2 linked regions of the Oryzias latipes genome follow. The main gene of each other region encodes a partner of the protein of the gene in region 2 in a complex. Links are inferred from orthologs where the notes say so. Each region holds a gene or a part of one and is shown on either strand. Other genes may lie near its edges.

Region 1 (3,984 bases), on a different chromosome or scaffold from region 2:
GGGGCTCTCTGCCAGCTCCCTGAAGTTCTCCTGGTCTCCCTGACCTTCCTGCAGGTCACGCAGAGCCTCCATCGTGGACTGAGCGGTCAGACTGAGCCCCCATTCTGTAAATATGAGACCGGTTTGTCCTTCTCACCTCCTCAGAACCTGCATGAAGAGTCCCGAAGCTCCACCCAGACAGGAAGTCTGAAGATGATGTAGTGACATCACTTCCTGTTGAACTACAACAATTTACTGTTAAATTGTTACAGTTTATTTATTGATGTCATTTCGGAACCAGAAGATCTCCACTGAGCATGCTCAGTTCCTTTTTAACTCCCTCAACGCTCTCTTGATGATCACCTTTTATCTAACTCCTCCCCATGAGTCATGACTCCTCCCCATGAGTCATGACTCCTCCCCATGAGTCATGACTCCTCCCCATTAGTCGTGACTCCTCCCCATGAGTTATGACTCCTCCCCATGAGTCATGACTCCTCCCCATTATTCGTGACTCCTCCCCATGAGTCATGACTCCTCCCCATGAGTCATGACTCCTCCCCATTATTCGTGACTCCTCCCCATGAGTTATGACTCCTCCCCATGAGTCATGACTCCTCCTCTCACATCTTTCTGGATGGTCTGAGCATTTGCGGTTCTGTTGGACCTGCACTGATGGTGTTGAAGTTTTCTGTCTCTCCTCATTGCTCTGGTTGGATTGGCCTTCGCTCAGAGCAGCCGGGTCCGACCAGAACCAAACCCTGAGTTTGCTGTTATTTATTTCTGGCTGTGATTTCAGGTGTACATGTTTGTTTTTTAAGAAAACAGAATAAAACGACTGTTCTGAAACTGAACTGGATCTGTTTATCCAGCCAACCAGAACCGGAGCAGGTGGCGGTCCGATTCATGATGTTTTAAGACAGCAATCCCCTCAAAGGTGATTGATGTTCTCCTGATGAGTTCACGTTCTGCTCTGTAGAATAGGAAATCCCAGATTGATCTCGTGTTTGGGATCCTCTGGTTTCTTAGATCAGCCTGTTTCTACAGAAAGGGGAGGAGCCTAAACATTTTAAAAAAGGGTCTATCTTCGCATTCTCATTGGTCAGTCCTGACGTTCAGACCAATCGCGGTCAAGAGTATTCAGTCGTACGCTGTGGGGGCGGAGCTTCAGACCGAACCAATCAGATCCCACGTGGATCCGGAGCCTTTGAAATGCGTGAGGAGGCGTGTTCGCGACAGAGGACTGAGCCGCGCGTGCGCGCCATCTCTTTTGTTTTGCTACTTTCTGTGCTCCTGCTTCATCATGGAGATGAAGAAGAGGATCAGCCTCGAGCTCCGAAACCGAAGTCCCACCGAGGTGCGTGAGAATCCCGCAGCCGCTCCTGTTTTCTGCGTTAGCGGTAAAGACGCGCGCGCGTGTTCCGTCGTCTTAGCGCGAGCTACACCCGCGCGGCTCTAGTAGCGGAGCTCTGTTTCCCGCCCGCTCCACGTGCGGGTTTCCTGTGTTCCGTGGAGAAGCCTCGAGGCAGCTCCAGCTAGCTAGCTAATGTGGAGAAAGAGCCGCGAGCCGGTTTGGGTCTGTTTCGGTCGGGTTCCGTTGACTGTGTGCAGCGGGGCGACTTCCCGCCGTAGGATGATCGCGGTTCCGATGACAGTGGTGATCCTGACGAACCGCAGTTCTGCTGAAATGCTTCGGCGCCGTTTTAGCTTGAAGCTCCAGCTCGGTGAGTCTGTTCGGACCACTTTCAATGCGCATGCGCAGTCCAGTCTCGGAGCTGGATTTTTTCGATGCACGGCTGGCTGTTGGGGACCCGGGTGGGTTCGGTCCATTTCAAACAGCCTTCTGGCGGAATATCGGGCAGACGTGAGCTGAACCTCAGCCACGGTCCGAGACCAGGACGCGGGGAATGGACGGTACCGGTGGTCCTCGGTCCGTCTGCCTTCATTCTTAAGCCGTGCAGAGGTCAGGTTCGAAATGGGAGGTCAGGTTCGGAATGGGGAGCACCAACACAGATTAGCTTCTATAGGTACCACTCATTTATGGGACTTACTTTACTATACATATTCTATATTGTGGTAAACATGAGTTCACATACAGAACCCTACAAACATCTGGGCTCTATGGACCTAAACACTGCAGTTGTTCCAAAGGTCCAGAGCTCGGTTCTGGTCCAGACCTGTTGCCTGTCATCAAACGTCTGCAGTTTCGCTAACGGCCTGCAGGGGGCGCGGGAACGCCGAGGCCGTCTGGTTTCCATCATGGTGACGTATGAAAGCGTCATGGTGGTAAAACTGCTGGTGTCACGTGACTGCGGACGGCGGGCGGATGAAAAGGAAGAATAAATATTCATCCAATCAGCTGTGGCGCTGTGGATGGAGCTCTGGGGAAGTGCTGCACATCTGATTGGCTACCATGATGGCATGGCGTTAAAACTCCAAACACGCCTGGTGGAGCGTTTCCACATACGTCTAGGCTCTGAAGCTCTCTGGAGCAGACACTAAGGGGATTGTGAAATCCACCAGGACCGGTTCTGGACCAGAGCCCGGCTGGTAGACGAGGCCTCCTGTCCTCAGAGTGAAGCGGCCGCTCTGCGGCGCCGAAGGTGGGGTGTTGGCTGCAGGTCTGCTCAGCTGCCGTCTGCTTCCAGGTGGGGGAGCTGGTGGTGGACAACTGCCGCTCCAGCGACGGCGAGGTGGAAGGTCTGTCAGAGGAGTTCACGGAGCTGGAGGTCCTCAGCATGGTGAACGTGGGCCTCAGCTCGCTGTCCAAGATGCCCCTGCTGCCCAAACTGCAGAAGGTGAGGAGACGTGGTCATGACCGCAGCCTCAGGAGGTCTGACCTTCCTCCCAAACGTCTAAACTGAATGAAGGACGTTGACCTCAGAATGATGCAAACCAAATGGTTCCAGGTTCAGGTTGGTCTGAACCGCTCAGCCTTCCCGCCTTTTACAGCAGAACTGAGACCCGACTGCTGTGTTTCAGCTGGAGGTCAGTGAGAACTCCATCGGTGGGGGGCTGAACACGCTGGTGGAGAAGTGTCCTGGCCTGACCCACCTCAACCTCAGCAGCAACAAGCTGAAGGAGCTGAGCAGCCTGGAGCCGCTGGTAAGTGGCGCCTTCCTCTGGTCCTCCCAGGAGGTCCGCTGCTCACGGCGATGTCATGTGACCTGCAGCAGAGCCTGAAGGCCCTGAAGAGTCTGGACCTGTACGGCTGCGACGTGTCCTCTCTGGACGACTACAGGGAGCGCGTCTTCCAGCTGCTGCCACAGCTCACCTACCTGGACGGGTTCGACCAGGAGGACAACGAGGCGTCCGACAACGGTGAGGCGCCATCCGTCACAGTCTGAAGGTCGAGGAACCCGCTCTGCTGGTTCTTCAGAATAATCATGAAGGTCTAAGACAAACCTAAAGTTCTTGTTTGGTTCCGTCTGAACTCACCTGATCCGTTTCCTGTCAACACACTGGTTCTTTTCTAGATGAGGAGGAGGAGGCAGGTCCTCCCGGAGATGATGATGAGGAGGACGAAGATGATGAAGAGCACGGCTCTGAAGAAGAGGAAGTGGGGCTTTCCTACCTGATGAAGGACGGCATCCAGGTGTGCCACTGATCCAGATGGGGAGGGGGAGGGGGGGGGCTCCTTGTGACTGAGCGCAGTCAGCAGCTTCCTGTTTCTGTTGAAGGACGAAGACGATGATGGAGATTATGTTGAGGAGGAAGAGGACGAAGAGGATGAAGATGAGGATGGAGGTGAGTCTGTTCTCCTCCCTCACATGGACAGACCCTCCTGAAGTGATGAGGGGGGGTCTGGTTGAGAACCCGGTTCTCCTGGACCTGTAGGCTGACGCCACAGGTCAAAGCAGAGGAGGAAAGAGGCTCCGCCTTTTCTGCAGAGATGACATCATTCTGTTGAACTACAAATGAAGGAGGATGGACTACAGACACGTCACTTCCTGCTGCGTCATGCTAACACCTGTTTGCAGAAAAAGGTTCAGATCTCCTGCTGTT
Region 2 (4,182 bases):
GAGTGTGGGCTAACATTATCCAATGAAGCACTAAAACCGTCAAAATTAAAGCACCATCTGGAAACCAAACATCCGAAGCTCATTGGAAAGCCAGTGGATTATTTCAAAAGAAAGGATGATGGGCTTCAGATGCAGAGGGGGTCCATCGTGTCACTGACTGGCGACGCTAAGTGTGCGTTAAAGGCCAGCTACCTCGTAGCCAGACGTGTGGCGCAGAGTAAGAAAGCGTTCACCATAGCGGAGGAACTGGTTCTGCCTGCCGCTGTGGACATGTGCCGTGAGATGATTGGTGAGGCTGCAGCAAAGAAGCTCAAGACCATCCCGCTGTCGAATGACATTGTGAGTCACCATATTGCTGACAGGGCCTCAGACATTGAGCAGCAGCTTCTGGGGAGAATAAGACAGAGCCCCTTTTTCTCTTTGCAGCTGGACCAGTCGACTGACGTCACAAATGCTGCGCTGCTGTTGGTTTTTGTTCGCTACCGGTGGGATAGCTCTTTGCAAGAAGACATTCTGTTTTGTGGAGAATTTCCAACTCGAGCTACAGCTGAGGAATGTTTCCGCTGCATGGATAACTACTTCACTGAGAATGGCCTTGACTGGCAGAACGGTGTTGGAGTGTGCTGTGATGGCGCAGCGTCAATGACTGGCAGGCATCGCGGTGTCATCAAGCAGATACTTGATCTTGCGCCAGAAGCTAAATGGACCCATTGTTTTCTCCACCGTGAAAACCTTGCAGCAAAAAAAATGTCTCCAGAGTTCCATGAGGTGATGGATGTCACTGTGAAAACCATCAACTTCATTCAAAGTAATGCTGTGAACTCCAGATGTTTTGCTCAACTTTGTGAGGGCATGGAAGCAGATCATGTCCAAGGCAAGGCAAGGCAAGTTTATTTGTATAGCACAATTCGTACACAAAGTAATTCAAGGTGCTTCACAAAACAGAAAAATGCATTAAAATCACAATACATCATAGAAATAATCAACATAAAATTTACTTTAAAAGAAAAGGAAGAAAAAAAAAAGATTTAAAAAGAAAGGAAGGAAAGAAAGGTGCAGATAGGCAAAACATAGATCGGTGATTTCCTTATGAAGTGATTTTTGGTTTATAGCAGCGTTTCTGTCCTGATATTTTCATCACAGACAAACAGACCCGTTGCTTAAGGTCTCAGCAGCTAAATAATCTCAGGCCAAGCCCACCTTCTGTTTATAATATTAGCGAAAATCTTAAGTAAAACATCTTTATTTGGTGCAAAGTCCAAAAGTATGCAAGTTAAACTACTATTCCCATGATGCATTTCCTTTAACAACAGGAAAAACCGCGCCCTCATTGTTGAACCAATCCGAAAGCCGCGTACGTCACGCAGGCGCAGTCTGACCTCATTTTTTTTCCAGTGTTTTTGTCAGCGAGGCAGCGCCATATTGGAAGAAGCCGTTTCTGTCCTAAAACGGCCAAAGCGCGAACTTTGCCACCATGCTGTACCTAGAAGATTACCTTGAGAGTGAGTACCGGACCGGGGCGTCGCGGCGGTACCGACTTCGGCCCGTTATGTGTGCACAGTGTGTGTCTATGTGTGGCCGCCGCGTGCATTTCCGTTAGCCTAGCTGCAGCGGATGCTAACGTGTTTTTCCTTTTCCGGCAGTGATCGAGCAGCTTCCCATGGACCTCCGCGATAGGTTCACGGAAATGCGGGAGATGGACCTGCAGGTGCAGAGTACGTATTTCCGCCAACCACCGGGCTCGGCTGGGACATCTGCCGCGGCACGGAGACTCGAACCGCCAGCGAGCGGTTAAAAAAGGCCAGATTACCGGAGCTAACACACCTGACATGTCCGTGAACCCGGTGACACCTCAGTCACGTCAACGGAACTTATCAACCTTTCAGCTCGTTTAATAATTCACTAAGTGAGGTTTTGTAGAGCTGCGTGCGCCACTTTACGCATATGTGGCTGAGATTCTGAAGCCCCTCCCCTTTTTGTCAGGCGGTCATGGTGATCAAAGCACATCCCTTCATTATCCGCCGCCTTTCATGTTGACGTCATGACCGCAGCTGCTGTTCAAACTTTTATCACATCAGTATTTGTTAGTTGAGGCACATTCAGTCACTCATTTATCGTTATCCTGATATCAAGCTGTGATAAATGTAACTTTAAATGTGCTCAAACAATCTTATGGCAGCTTGAAGGATTTAAGGAATCACATAAATCCATTAATGCATTTGACCAACCAGATGGAGCCCTTTGATGTAGGGGGGGGGGGGGGGGCATTCGGAGTGTAATTTAACGTACACTTTAAATTTAATTGAAGCTGTTGCAGTGAAATGGAAATGATCTATTTAGATAGTTTGCTATATGCATCACAACTTATATGGTCATTGCAATATTCATCAGTAATGTTGGAAATGGCGAGTTTTGCTCATCTCGTGCAGCCCTAGTTCAGTTGTAAAGTCCTCCAGGGTCATCTGTGACCCCTAGCTGTTGGAGGGTCAGAGTTAGGTGGACTGACCCCCCCCCCCCCAGTCTCAGATCTGACCTCTGATGCAGTTGCAGGTGGAAGAACTTTGGAGACAGTAAGAGAGTTCTTCTAGGTTCCTGTCTGATCCAGAACCAGCACCAGAAAGCTGATGTCATGTGCTTTAGTTCTTTCCCGCCTCTTTGTTTCAGACGCCACAGACCAGCTGGAGCAGAGGGTCATTGATTTCTTCATCAATGCAAAGAAGAACAAACCTGAGTGGAGAGAGGAGCAAATGGAGGTTATCAAGAAGGTCTGGAATCTGCTGCTGGTTCTGGAGGAACCCGAAGGAACCTGTCAGATCTAGATTCTGTTTCTGGTGTGTTTCAGGATTATTACAAGGCCCTGGAGGACGCAGATGAGAAAGTACAGCTGGCCAATCAGATTTATGATCTGGTGAGTGGAACCGTCTGCCGCTCTGACCGGATGGTCTCTGACCTCCTGCACAGTGACGGTCCAGCTGGGTTTGCCGGATCGCCTGGAGGTTCCACCGTAGCAGGACGGAGTTCCCTGACAGTTTTGTCTGTCCCTAACACCACTGGGGAGGAGCTTTCCTCCCTCATCACCAACAGACGCCCCGCAGCAGCTGGACCGGGTCTACCTGCTGCACCGCGTCCAGAAGCTCATGTGACCTGTTGTCTCCTCTGCCTCCAGGTGGACCGGCACCTGCGGAAACTGGACCAGGAGCTGGCCAAGTTCAAAATGGAGCTGGAGGCAGACAATGCCGGCATCACAGAGATCCTGGAGAGACGTGAGTTCGATTCCAGAGCGACTCGTTGGGGCTGAAAGGCAGAGCGGTGACCTTGTGCTCTTCTCAGGGTCACTGGAGATGGACAGTCCCTCCCAGCCGGTCAACAACCATCACATGCACTCGCACATAACAGCCGAGAGTAAGCTGCTGCACGCCCTCAGCTCCGCCTCGTGATGTCAGGACCTCTGCAGCAGGTTCACGTGTCACCGTGTCCTCTGTCCACAGAGAGGAAGTGCAGCGCCCCCGCCCACCACACGGTGGAGCACATTCCTGAGAAGAAGTTCAAGTCTGAGGCTCTGCTGTCTACACTCACCTCGGATCCGTCCAAGGAGAACACGCCAGGTAGCATCTGCAGATAACAGCCATGCAGCTGGAGGGCGGAGCCTCCACGCAGCTAACTGCCCCCCCCCCCTCCTGCCCCCTAGGTTGCCGCACCAACAGCATGTCTGCATCCACCAACAGCGCCTACAGCCTCAACTCCTCTCAGCCCCTGGCTTCCTACAACCTGAGCGCTCTGCCCGCAGGACCCGGGGCCGGCGCCGGCGCCATCACCTTGGCGGCGGCGCAGGCCGTACAGGCCACAGCCCAGGTCAGAACCCGACCCCCATCCTAAAATCGTGCATGTCGGCCCCGCTGGTGGCGCTCCATCCCCCGTCTGTTCCGTCCCATCAGATGAAGGAAGGCCGCCGGACCTCCAGCCTCAAAGCCAGCTACGAGGCCATCAAGAACAACGACTTCCAGCTGGGCCGAGAGTTCTCCGTGTCCCGGGACGGCTCCTACTCCTCCTCCGCCCTGGCCTCCACCCTCACCCAGACGCTCACTCCCAGCACCACCTCTGACTCCAGAGGTCGGAAGTCAAAGTAAGTTACCCCCGTCCCACCGCAGGTGTCTCGGACCCGTCTGACCTCTAGTCCCTGTT

What was found. Proteins that work in one complex are often made in the same cells at the same time.
Region 1: ing3 (region 2) and acidic leucine-rich nuclear phosphoprotein 32 family member E share a complex: the UniProt entries of both Homo sapiens proteins name them as parts of the SWR1-like complex. The link is inferred for Oryzias latipes from reciprocal best matches to the Homo sapiens genes ING3 and ANP32E.

What each region holds. Positions count from the first base shown.
Region 1 is NC_019874.2:32,438,297-32,442,280, forward strand, and holds the start of acidic leucine-rich nuclear phosphoprotein 32 family member E, read left to right. Parts: upstream 1-1,184; 5' UTR 1,185-1,282; coding exon 1,283-1,336; intron 1,337-2,627; coding exon 2,628-2,777; intron 2,778-2,961; coding exon 2,962-3,084; intron 3,085-3,152; coding exon 3,153-3,300; intron 3,301-3,455; coding exon 3,456-3,574; intron 3,575-3,659; coding exon 3,660-3,726; intron 3,727-3,984. UniProt on the Homo sapiens protein: Histone chaperone that specifically mediates the genome-wide removal of histone H2A.Z/H2AZ1 from the nucleosome: removes H2A.Z/H2AZ1 from its normal sites of deposition, especially from enhancer and insulator regions.
Region 2 is NC_019881.2:24,133,035-24,137,216, forward strand, and holds the start of ing3 (inhibitor of growth protein 3), read left to right. Parts: upstream 1-1,382; 5' UTR 1,383-1,474; coding exon 1,475-1,502; exon of another isoform or gene 1,503-1,559; coding exon of another isoform or gene 1,560-1,560; intron 1,561-1,643; coding exon 1,644-1,715; intron 1,716-2,664; coding exon 2,665-2,765; intron 2,766-2,842; coding exon 2,843-2,908; intron 2,909-3,166; coding exon 3,167-3,263; intron 3,264-3,330; coding exon 3,331-3,402; intron 3,403-3,488; coding exon 3,489-3,605; intron 3,606-3,688; coding exon 3,689-3,852; intron 3,853-3,935; coding exon 3,936-4,123; intron 4,124-4,182. UniProt on the Homo sapiens protein: Component of the NuA4 histone acetyltransferase (HAT) complex which is involved in transcriptional activation of select genes principally by acetylation of nucleosomal histones H4 and H2A.